Linked DNA regions of Caenorhabditis elegans. The protein of the gene in region 2 purifies or fractionates together with the protein of the main gene of each other region. This does not show direct contact. Each region holds a gene or a part of one and is shown on either strand. Other genes may lie near its edges.

The links. Proteins that work in one complex are often made in the same cells at the same time.
Region 1: the proteins of ran-3 (region 2) and xpo-1 fractionate together in Caenorhabditis elegans (co-fractionation; one large-scale study listed by BioGRID). This does not show direct contact.

What each region holds. Positions count from the first base shown.
Region 1 is NC_003283.11:7,802,601-7,808,152, reverse strand, and holds the start of xpo-1 (Importin N-terminal domain-containing protein), read right to left. Parts: upstream 3,090-5,552; 5' UTR 2,862-3,089; intron 2,811-2,861; 5' UTR 2,792-2,810; coding exon 2,271-2,791; intron 2,220-2,270; coding exon 662-2,219; intron 616-661; coding exon 500-615; intron 450-499; coding exon 179-449; intron 31-178; coding exon 1-30. Other genes in the region: uvs-1 (UV-stimulated scaffold protein A homolog), read left to right, coding at 4,468-4,530, 4,575-4,697, 4,746-4,844, 4,894-5,166, 5,216-5,508.
Region 2 is NC_003280.10:8,321,548-8,327,030, reverse strand, and holds ran-3 (Regulator of chromosome condensation), read left to right. Parts: upstream 1-1,978; 5' UTR 1,979-1,980; coding exon 1,981-2,058; intron 2,059-2,104; coding exon 2,105-2,423; intron 2,424-2,480; coding exon 2,481-2,818; intron 2,819-2,864; coding exon 2,865-3,159; intron 3,160-3,233; coding exon 3,234-3,805; intron 3,806-3,861; coding exon 3,862-3,969; 3' UTR 3,970-4,419; downstream 4,420-5,483. Other genes in the region: C26D10.3 (Pyridine nucleotide-disulfide oxidoreductase domain-containing protein 1), read right to left, coding at 199-333, 382-591, 639-880, 928-1,375, 1,425-1,565.

The DNA.
Region 1 (5,552 bases), on a different chromosome or scaffold from region 2:
GATGCTCGGCACTTGTGGACAGAGGAGAGACTGAAAAATAATTTGATAAAGTTATAATTTTTGAGAAATTTTCGAAATTTAAAAGTTAAGAGTTGAGACGAATTTGAAAATTTTTCTTCAAGCCCTAAATTATTTTTATTTTATTTTAATTTTTTCAAAATTTCAAAAGATAACTGACTCCAAGTTGTGTGACCAGAATGCTGAGCAAAGACAACACTTTCGGCTCTCTCGCCTGTGGCACATTCTTCTGGTAATCGAAGAGAACCGCATCGAACAATGGTGGAACTATACTGTCCAGAATGAGCTTGGCATCTCCGTTCTTTGAAATGAATGTCGATAGAAGGATGAGAATCTCTCGCTTCACAGCTCGCATCGTCTTTACCAATGGATTCTTCAAAGCCTCTTCGCCGGCGGTTGTCACTGCTCGGGACACCTTCTCGGATAGAATTCTAAAAAAATTAGGTTTACTAACAGAACTTCTTTTTTTTTTAATTCTCACTTGTAGAGGGATAGAAGATCACTGTAGATATTTCCGAGTTGGGTTACAAACGAAGATCCAATGGATTTGCAGGCGGCCACATTTGTTTTTAGTATATTCAGGACAGATTTGACCATCTGAAATTTGAATAAATATAAAAGCCAACCCCTTAAAATAAATTACCTCCGGCTCTTCGAGCACACTGTCGTTAGTGGATGCTGCTGCAATGATGTCGTTCCATGTGCGATTTGGGATATCCATAAGCTTCATGATCAGGTCTTCTTGCAGATTTCCATCTATCTGCGCAGAAATGATGTGTCCAACAGCCTCGTAGAATACGTGAACTTGTGCATGAGAAAGATCGCAGATGATTCCAGTCAAATTTTCGAGCATCTCTTCGACGAAAGGCTTATTCTCAGCTGGTTGGACGATGACGAAATGCCTCTTACATTTTATGGAAATCTTGATGAATGTATCACAAGCCATGTCCTGTACACCTTCATGAGTCTCGTGCATGAACTCGAAAAGCTTATTGATAACCGTCTTCAGGAACTTCCAGTGAGCTCGAAGGAATCTCGGGTACTGTCCGACAACATACATGATGTTTGACGCAATCACTGCCTTATTGTCCTTTCCACGTTTCTGTTCACAGAGCCCGAGTAAATCACGAATAACAAGAACAAGGAATCGCTTTTCGTCTTCTTCAACCATCGTTCCAGAAATCGAACCAACAGCCCAGCACAAACGATTCAAATTCTTCCACGAAAACTCTCCTCCGTTCACTTGTGATGCCAACTTTTCAGTCATCTTCACTTCAGTGTCCTTGTTGTCAAGATGAGTCAAATAGACAAGCGTTTCACGCATGTTACGGTACAAAGCAATCGAATCAGTATCTTTGACCATTTCACGAACAACTTCTCCTTGATCATTTTCCACAATCAACACCTCTTCTGGCTTTGCCATTCGAGAAATCATTGTTGAACGAAGTTGCGAGAGGTATTCACGGTAGAGTTGACGACGTGGATGCTCACGAACCTGACTCATCATTCCGTAAAGAGTACTTGGCTGAATGAATGGACATATACGGTAGAGCTCAGCAGTCAACCAGCACCAACAATCGAGGCAAACTTTGAAAACCTCCATTTCTTCGATCAAAGTGATTTTCAAAAGAAGTTGAATAGCATAGTCGTGAGATTCTCGCATTAAAATTTTAGCCTCAGTTAATGGCTCATCAGTTACTTCAATCAGATGAACGTGCTCTTTGATGAACGCGACAAGAAATTGAGCCAGACTACTGATGAGTTTCTGATCCTGATCGGAAGCATCTTTGTAGACAGCAGCCAGGTCGAGGTCCAAAGATAGAACTTGGCTAATGTGGCGCATTGTAGAGCAGAACATTTTGACAAGCTTTTCGTCGTAGCTGGGATCGTTGGTTTCAACTTGAATTTGTGAAATTTCCGTGAGACATTGAAGAGCGATGACACGATACACTTCAAGCGAAAGGAAGTTTTCAGACAGCAATTCCGTGATGTTTGTCTCGAAAACGTAGCCAACTGGAATCCAGGTGAGGAATCGTTGAAGAGTCTTCAAGGTAGCTTGAACCATAGAGTTGGATGGACATTTCTCGAGAATGCTGACACACAGTGTGAATACTTCTTGGAACTGTCCACAGAATTGTTGTTTCAGATGTTGTTCCTTGGCTTGGGTGAGGTTTTGGGATCCGAAATCAAATACTTCTTCGCTGAAAAATATAATAAATGTAGCAAAACATTTTAAAACTAATTCAAAATACCTCAACAAGCTCAGAATATTCATATTGTTGATGCAAACGGTCTCGTTGTTCTTCGATGAATCAACAATATCGGTGATGAATGTTGGCCATGCCTTTGGCCAATCTTGTTTGACAATTTGAACCAAAACGAGGTTCAACTTGTGAAGAAGCAGTTGACTTTGTTCCATGACACTCTGATCAGAAGACAATTCGAACATTTTGGTGATGATGTACGACTTGATTCCTTCACGTTGGACTTGTGGCAACGACTTCCATTTGTGTTGGATGACAGTCTCAAGGATTTGAAGTGCAAAATACTTGGACTCATTTAGCTGCGAATATTGAAGAATCGCATCGACTTTGGTCCACGAATCGCGTTCTTCCTTGAGCGACATGAGGATTTGGTTAGCCTCGGCCTGTTCTTTTCCGCTCATTCGATTCATAATCTCGACGACTTGATCCAAAAGAGTCACATCGATACGGTCACCTTGGGCGAATTGACGCTTCGCTTCAGAGAGCACTTCCATTGCTGAGACAGCCATGTTTTTTTATTGTCGGTTTCTGAAATTGATAGCATTTATTGACCAACACTATAAATATAAAATAACTTACCAGCGATCAAATTTCGCAAAAATCGGCAGTAGTTTCCAGTTCAGTCTCACACACTCACGCACACACAAAACTGGCGGGGTTCAGGCTCTCGCTTTTCGGGCAGAAATCCTGTGTTTCTCACAGTGAAGCTGGAAAATTAGGCCAAAATATCGTTTCACTCGCACACACACTCTCACGCTCTCTCACACAACCGACTGTTGACGATGGGACGATCGATCTAGCCCAGTTCTGAAAATAAGAAAATTATTTTTAAATTTGCAAACCAAAAGGTGTAGAAAATATATGTCAAGAGAGGGAAAAAATATTGACCTAAAGTTTGACAGAAATAAATTCAGAAACGGAAATTGGAGATGGGAGAAGACGAGAGATATTTCTTTCATCATCGTCACTTTTGACAGTCAAATGTTTCGAAATTACTGGATTGATAAGGATCTATTCAAGACTAGGAAGTGAGAAATGCTGAATGCAAAAGTTCGGCCAAACAAATCTCACTGCGAAAAATATTGTGTGCGACCTTGCTGAATTGGGACAGAGCGCGCGATGTTATTGTAAGCAACGGTAAAAAATCGATTGAGGACACCTCGATGAGTGCACCCGTCCCGCTTTGTCTTGTCACGTGATGTGCATGACTTGCGCCCTCTCTTTACGTTCGGAAAACATTGAAAACAAAGCGTAGGAGCTATTGAGGAGGGGTCATGTGATTTTTTTTCGCATGTTTACTTGTTTGCAGATACATGAAGACAGGAGAAGAAATTGAGAAACGGAAGGACCATTCTGAATATTTTTGGCCGAGACGCGCGTCGAAAATGTCGAAATGAGAAAGATTGAATGAAAATAGAAGCAACAAAATCGCCGCACGTGACACACTACACACCTATTATTTGCTATGAGAACGGAAAAAAAACAGCGGTGAAGCAGATTTTACGTGTGAGAGACAAAAAACGGAAGAAGTGGGAGAAATCGTCGGATTCATGCTCAGCGGCCATCCCAGTTTTTATCACAAGACACGCGCCGGCGCGCGCGGGGAAAGTCTCCTCGCGGCCTTTCCTGTTCGAATTCATCGCAGACGCAAAAGAGTACGATGGAGCGCATTTGACAAAAACTTTCGCGGCTGTTGGGTACTCGCGGACCTGATATTTCTGTGTTTGGTGAGAACGGAAACAACGAGTAAAATGTATTTTACTTACTTTTCGAAAGTAGATATTCACAAAAATAAAATGTGCTGTTAAATTTTTAAGTACATCTTAACGAATTATTTCGAAAATAATTTGATTGCGAAATTAAATTCATGTTTATACGCTGTTGTTTTCATCGTTCTTGTGATTTTCAGAAGAAAAATGAAGCCAAACTTGAGAACAAAGCAAGAAAAAATGTTGATAATTTTCGCTAAATAAAATTATTTCCCTTGAAATAAAAATTGGCGTCTAAACTTATCGGGAAACAAATAAAATGTTGAAAAGAAGGCAACCAAAAGTGAGGAATATTTGAAAAAAACAACCGTATCACCTATTTCGCTTCGAGACCTGTGAACGGTTTTCTTTGCATGCGCCTTTAAGATTATGATAGAAAACATTATTTTTGTTTTTGTTTTCAGTACTGCAGTTTTATGGATTCAATTGACAACTCCACAACAATAATAAGGAAGAATTTGAACCGATTCATACGAGAAGTGAGTTTTGGAACTAAAAAACAAAATTATGCGAAAGTTTTCAGCTGACAGATGATGGAAAGTTGGACTTTGAATCAATACCATATCAAAATTTGCAAAAAGAAGTGGCAAATCAGGACGAAGAAGGCTGCGAGAATGTGATAGAAGTATTGCTGGATACTACAAGCGTAAGATTCAAGATTAACATTAGAATTAATTAATTAAAACATTTTAAGAGATCAGGATGTCCCGATAGGAAACTAATTCTGCAACTGTTCAATAGCTTCTTCTTACAATTTCCAATATTTCGGGAAAATCTACTCAATGATCCATCAGTGAGTTTTGTGAAAGCTTAAATTAAACTAAAAAATTAAATTTCTCTAGGAATTTCTCGAATTAATGTTCGAAACAAACCCAATTCGTAACCCACTCCCTGGTTCGAAAAAACATGGAAATGAGCTGAAAGTCGAAGCGATAACAGTGATTAAAAGCTGGGAAAAGGAGAAGTGTGTGAAGAACGATGCAAGAATGAAATGTTTGGTGGTGACGTTGAAGAAGACAAAATTTGTAGACTATGAAAATGGAGCTAAGAAAATTGAAGCGGAAAGAAAACGAAAAAAGATTTTGGAAGAAAGAAAAATGAAAATGATTGAGAATGTAGGTTGGATATTTAACACATATTTAAAGAAATGTTAAAACTTTCCAGTCAGTCAACGTCTATTCTTCAAAATACCACGAGATAAAAAACGATGCGGAGACACTGTCAATGGAACTCACAACTACAATGCAAATGCTTGTTCCATCATTCACTACAGCAGATCCTGAAGTTCCCAGCACATCAACTTCAACACCTTCTGCAATTTCGGACTCAAAAAGTTTCGAGATTTTCATTCCGGATTTGACTCCAGAAATCTCTGTTTCCTCGGAAAATGATGCTATTGTTGAGGCGTTTCTTGGTGCAAAACTTTCGTTGATTCATCGAGTTCAGACGCTCCGAAAGTAAGTATTTGAAATTAAAATAAAAACTAAACAAATGTTATATT
Region 2 (5,483 bases):
GCTGATGGAGTAAAATGCCTATTGTTTCCCCTAAATTATCGACCTCTGTTTCTTGTGGTCTCATTTACCAATTTTCGTTATCGTTAACAGTTTCCAACTACACGCAAAAAAATTTGACTGTATTATTTATTTTTCTTTTTTCATGAGTGTTTGGAAATAAAATTCGACAATTACCATGCAAATTGTTATTTATCTCACCTTTAACCCGAAAAAAGTCGTACAATGCGAGAACAGTTCGAAATACATATTCTGCATACGAGCCTCTTCGACGCCTGCCACCATCGCTCTTCCACACACTTCTCCTTGCTGACGTGCTTGTGTCCACAATTGTCTCTTAAAATATTTCAACTTTATTTAACACTCAATCTATGGTTATAAAACTTGTTGCCAAAGAGTTGATGGTTCTGTGGTAGTCAGTGCACAAACATCTCCACATGCAAAAACATTAGGAAGTGAGGTTTCGCAAGCGTCGTTGACTTTAATTCCACTATTTTCAGTGATTTGGAGCATTTTATTCATAGCCCAGACTTCTGAGTTGGCAGTTACACCTCCTGCCCAAATAAAAATATCTGGATTGAGCTGGTTATCTGCCTTAATAAAATAACTAGGCTTAATGGTACGATAACTTAAAATGATACCATCTTTTCTTTATCCATGTAATGTACCGACAAATTTTGGGACGTATCGGTGCTTGTTATAACACAATTACGCAAGATAGTCACCGATCGGTTTTCAGATTTTTCCGAAATTTTCTGAAAGTCTATTTGAGAACACCAGTCGGGACCCAACGCTGGTCCAGAAGGGTTGTTCATATTTTCAGAGACAGATTCAGAAGCAGCTACATGTTGAAGATGTTTTTGTTGTCCGTCATGCTTATTACCTGAAGTTTCAGATGAGCACGCAATACATGAAATCTCGAGAACGAACCATCTATCCGTCCCTTCAGCAATCGTTTTTCAATGAATTGTTCGATGTCTTCCGGAAAGAACGAAGCACAGATCCAAGGATCTTTGATCAGCCATGTCACGTCGAACGTTTTAAGCTCAAAGATCAATTCAGTAGCAATTCCCCCGTTTCCGACAATTAGAATATTTTTTGCATTTTTTAGTTTAGTCTTCAATTGAATCGCGCTCTGTGTATCTCGTAAGAACACTATCCTGCGATCAATTCCCAACTCTTTTTGGAATTTAGGACGAGATCCGGTAGCAATGCACAGTTTATCGTATTTCAGTTTCTCATTGTTTTGCAGATGAATTTCATTTTTTGAAGAATCCCACGTAACCACTGTGTCATTCAAGAATCGAATTCTACTATCTGGGAAGAGCTCGTGGCAATTTGTCTCTTTTACGTCAAATTTCTCTCCGTACTGCCCGATCTGAAAATTTCCATATAATTATTAAACTTAAATGTTTTCATCAACTTACTTTTTGATAGTTCTCCACAGACTTCACGAAACTTGACGCGGAGATTATAATTACTTCCAAGTTCGCTGATCTTTCTAACTGAAGCATTTGACTGGCGCACGAAACTCCAGCAATTCCACCACCAACAATTATATATTTCATGCTAAATATGTTCCAGTTAACTTGAAAACCAAGTTACCCTCAATTTATTCGCAGGATACGAATTACTCGAGAAATATATCGAGAACATTGTTCTCCGTGGAGCGGCCTTGCAAAACTGCGTGCGCGCATTGCAAATTTCAAAAGTAGCTCCGCCTCCTCACAAAATTCATTCGTTTTTGTAAACATCTATTTATTTTTTTAAATTTAAGTAACTTCTTTTTAATCATTCTTCTTTAATCTTTTTTTAAAATACCTTTTGCGCATTTGCGCACACCCGTTGCATTTCTTCTATCGGTATCTTCTCAGAACATGGTGTCTCTCCAAGTTTTTCATCTCTTGTTACTCTCCTAAACTTAACCTTGACAGGAAATTGTTACCTTCATCAACTTTCGATATTATTCTTTTGTTTTCAGAAATGTCAACTGCGGAGCAAAGAATGGACACCTCAGAGGTAGAACTCCCGAACGATAATGTAAACGAACAAGGAAATAAGGTTGGTTTCGTAAATCAACAATTTCGTCATATTTATTGATTTTCAGACACCACGAGCTGATCAGCCAGAGTCGAGTGCTTCGGGTGCTCGAAATCACGGAGAAGACGAAGAGGTTACCGAACAAGTTGAACTTGCTGCCATGGAAACTGAAGCATCAGACTCTATCGTCGACAATGTTCCCAAAACTCCCCGGAGAGCTGGACGCCCAAAAAAATTACCATCTACTTCTACTGCTGCCGCAGAGTCTGCTGTAACTCCAGGCAAAAGAGGTAGAAAACGTAAGGGTAGTGAATCAGTAAACACCACTATTAATAGTACGATGAACTCGACCCTTAATGAGCCTAAAACTCCAGGACGGAAACAAGGTTTGTTGGTTTTTCAAATATATTTTCTGAAACAACAACATAAAAATAATTTTTCAGCTAAGTTGGTTGCACCACTTCTAACTTATGACCTGTTCGCTCCTTCTATTATTGGCGATCGAGTTTTGTCGTGCGGAGAAGGAGAAGCTCTGGGTCACCCAGGAAGAACCACCACAAAAAAGCCACGGAAAGTTGATATTTTTGAAGAAGAAGGTTTAAAACCACTTCAAGCCGTCGCAGGAGGAGTTCACTCAGCAGTACTTACCTCTGAGGGTGAAGTTTATATGTGCGGTATCAACGAAAAGGGAACTGTTCCCGCGGAAGGTGTAGAGAAGGAAGGAAGTACCGACGAGTTTGCGAAAGTAAAGTTCGAGGAAGATATCGAGAAGGAAGGAAAGGTTTGTATGCTGTCTTATTATTGTTTCTATTCAAATATTATTTCAGATTGTAATGCTAGCCGCTGGAGCCTCGTTTACCGCTGCTCTCACTGATCAAGGATCTGTAATTGCCTGGGGAAATCTTCGCAACTCCAATGGAAACGTTGATGTTCATCCACTCCTTCATAAGATGCAAGAAGCGCCGGTGGTTATTGTCCACCAAGCTAAACGTAAAATTGTGAAGATCGCAGCTGGCGAGAACCATCTCGTGATGTTGGATGAGAAGGGCTGCCTTCTCACGTTCGGTGATGGAGAAATGGGACAGTTAGGACGCAGTAGTCGTACCAAAACTATTCGTTCAAGTGAGATTTTTCATAAGTTTGTTTGGTTTATGAATTAATGTTTCAAAATACATCACAGATTACTTTTATTTCAGAGTACATGTGCGATGAATCTGGTGATCATTTACTCGTGCCCCTCAGATTTAAGCATAAAGGAAAGTTCTTTGACGTTGTTGCTAAAAACGTGTTCGCCAGTGGATTTTGGACTATTGTCCACGGAGAAGACGGAAAATACTACGCCTTCGGACTCAATAACTATGCTCAACTCGGTATCAAAGTTGACGAAGCTGATGTCGGACAAGACGGACAGGACAACCGCGAGCTTCGGGTTTTTCTTCCAGCAGAAGCCCCAGCTTTTGGAGCAGAAAGAACATTCGTTAATATCGAAGGAGTCCAGCATGTCGTCATTCTCGGAAGTGATGGAAAAGTGTTTGCTATGGGAAAGAACACAGACAATGCTCTCGGCCTCGGTAATTGGACTGGAAAGGACGACCAACAGCATTGGTTGTACGATACAATCCAGGAAATAGAATTCGATTCGAAGATCGTTGGTGTTTCTGCCAAACTAGCCACTTCTATCGCCTGGTCTGAGGATGGAACCGCCTACGCTTGGGGTTTTGATACTACCGGACAACTTGGTCTCGGATTGAAAGACGAAGACGAGAAGGTAATTTTTCAAAACTCAAACTATCAATAAATAAAATATTCAATCTTATTTTCCAGATGGTGTCCAAGCCAGAGGAGATCAGCTCCGCCCATCTTGACGGTTATTCGATTATCGGGGCTTCGATTTCCGATCAGCACACTTTGATTATTGCCAAGAAAAATTAAATTATTTGGTTTTATTCTCAACTTTTATATCAGTTTTGTTTTGTCTCTGTAGCATTATTTTGTTATTTTTTCGTTTCCCGGTAGCCAATTCGATTGTTCTCCAGTAACATTCTCATCAATTTTTCTGTTTTTTTTATCATTTCATTTTTGTCAAGTAGCATCAGTCATGTAAGAAAGGGATAGAGTTCCCTTCTGTGAAAATGGAGAATTGTTGAAACGTCGTTGCACAACGACGTTTAAACACTTCACTCTATCCCTGGATTGATTTCCAACTTCTATGTTTTCTCAAAACCCCCTATTAGTTCTGCTATATATTGGAATCCAAAAATTTTTCATTTTTAGCCTGAGTTATGTTGTTCTCTTATCATGTGAACTCACTGTTTTATAATCCGTTTCACCATTTATGGTAAACGTTTCCTGGAAGGACAAATAAATCAATGGGTATCTGTGAAACAATGTACACTCTTGGTTTCGTTTTTTTTTTCAATTTTCAGAGAGCTTCTAATATTTGCTATTTACCCACTTATGTTGTTTCCTTTGCTCATTATACGAGTCGATTTGAATGCAAATAGGCTCCTAATCCACCTCCAATTTTCCCTTTATTTTTTGGAATTTTGAGCTACATCTCCAAAACTCCCTCATAGATATCTCAATTCTCTAGTACAACAACGGCTTTGAAAGCGAGTCTAATTGGGTGCCGGAAGGGACCGCCCTTCTCGGATCATGCTCGGAGCAAAAACCTCCAAAGATGAGTACACGTCGTCTTTTGACCCAGATTCTAAATATATATTCAAATTGTCTTCAGTATGAAAAATTGGATACATTTGCGTAACTTCAACACTTTATTATGCGAAATCTAATGGCTCATTGAATTATTGGTAGTTGTTTTGCAACCTTTATGCTATTATATAGGCATCTAAAGATGAGCATTTTTCGCCATAGCTTACATAAGTGCACGGGTTTTGACACGTGGACACCGAGTTACTGTAACTCAATATTGCACCATGTTTTATTAAGAAACCATGAGATCATGAGAATGCCTACTGTTTTTGGCGCGGGAATATCTCGTAGCGAAGGCACCTAATTCTCTCGTCGCCTCTTAAAATAAAAATTTAGTGCAGTAAATGCCTGTATGTTAGCTACCGTTTGACCTTTTTAAAATTTTCAGAATATGCTTGCTGGTACAAACTATTCTAATAAACAATAATTTCGAAAAAAAGCGACTAATTTCTTCTTGACTGAAAATTATCTGATATCTATCTAATTTCTTTGGTTGTTTTGACACAACTGACAACATTATAATAGTAGCTATAAAGAATCCAAAATCCTTTTCTCTTTTGTTATTGCAACAACTTGATTTGAAAATTTGTCTGATGACGTTGTCAGTCAGATTCTCATTAAGTTGGCTTCTGTGCTCGACTTTCAGGAAATTGAAATCTCATCTCTGTATTTCTTTGTTTGCACGTTTTGTTTTGGACCTTTGCTACCCTTTTCACTATTTTCTATCAATTTTC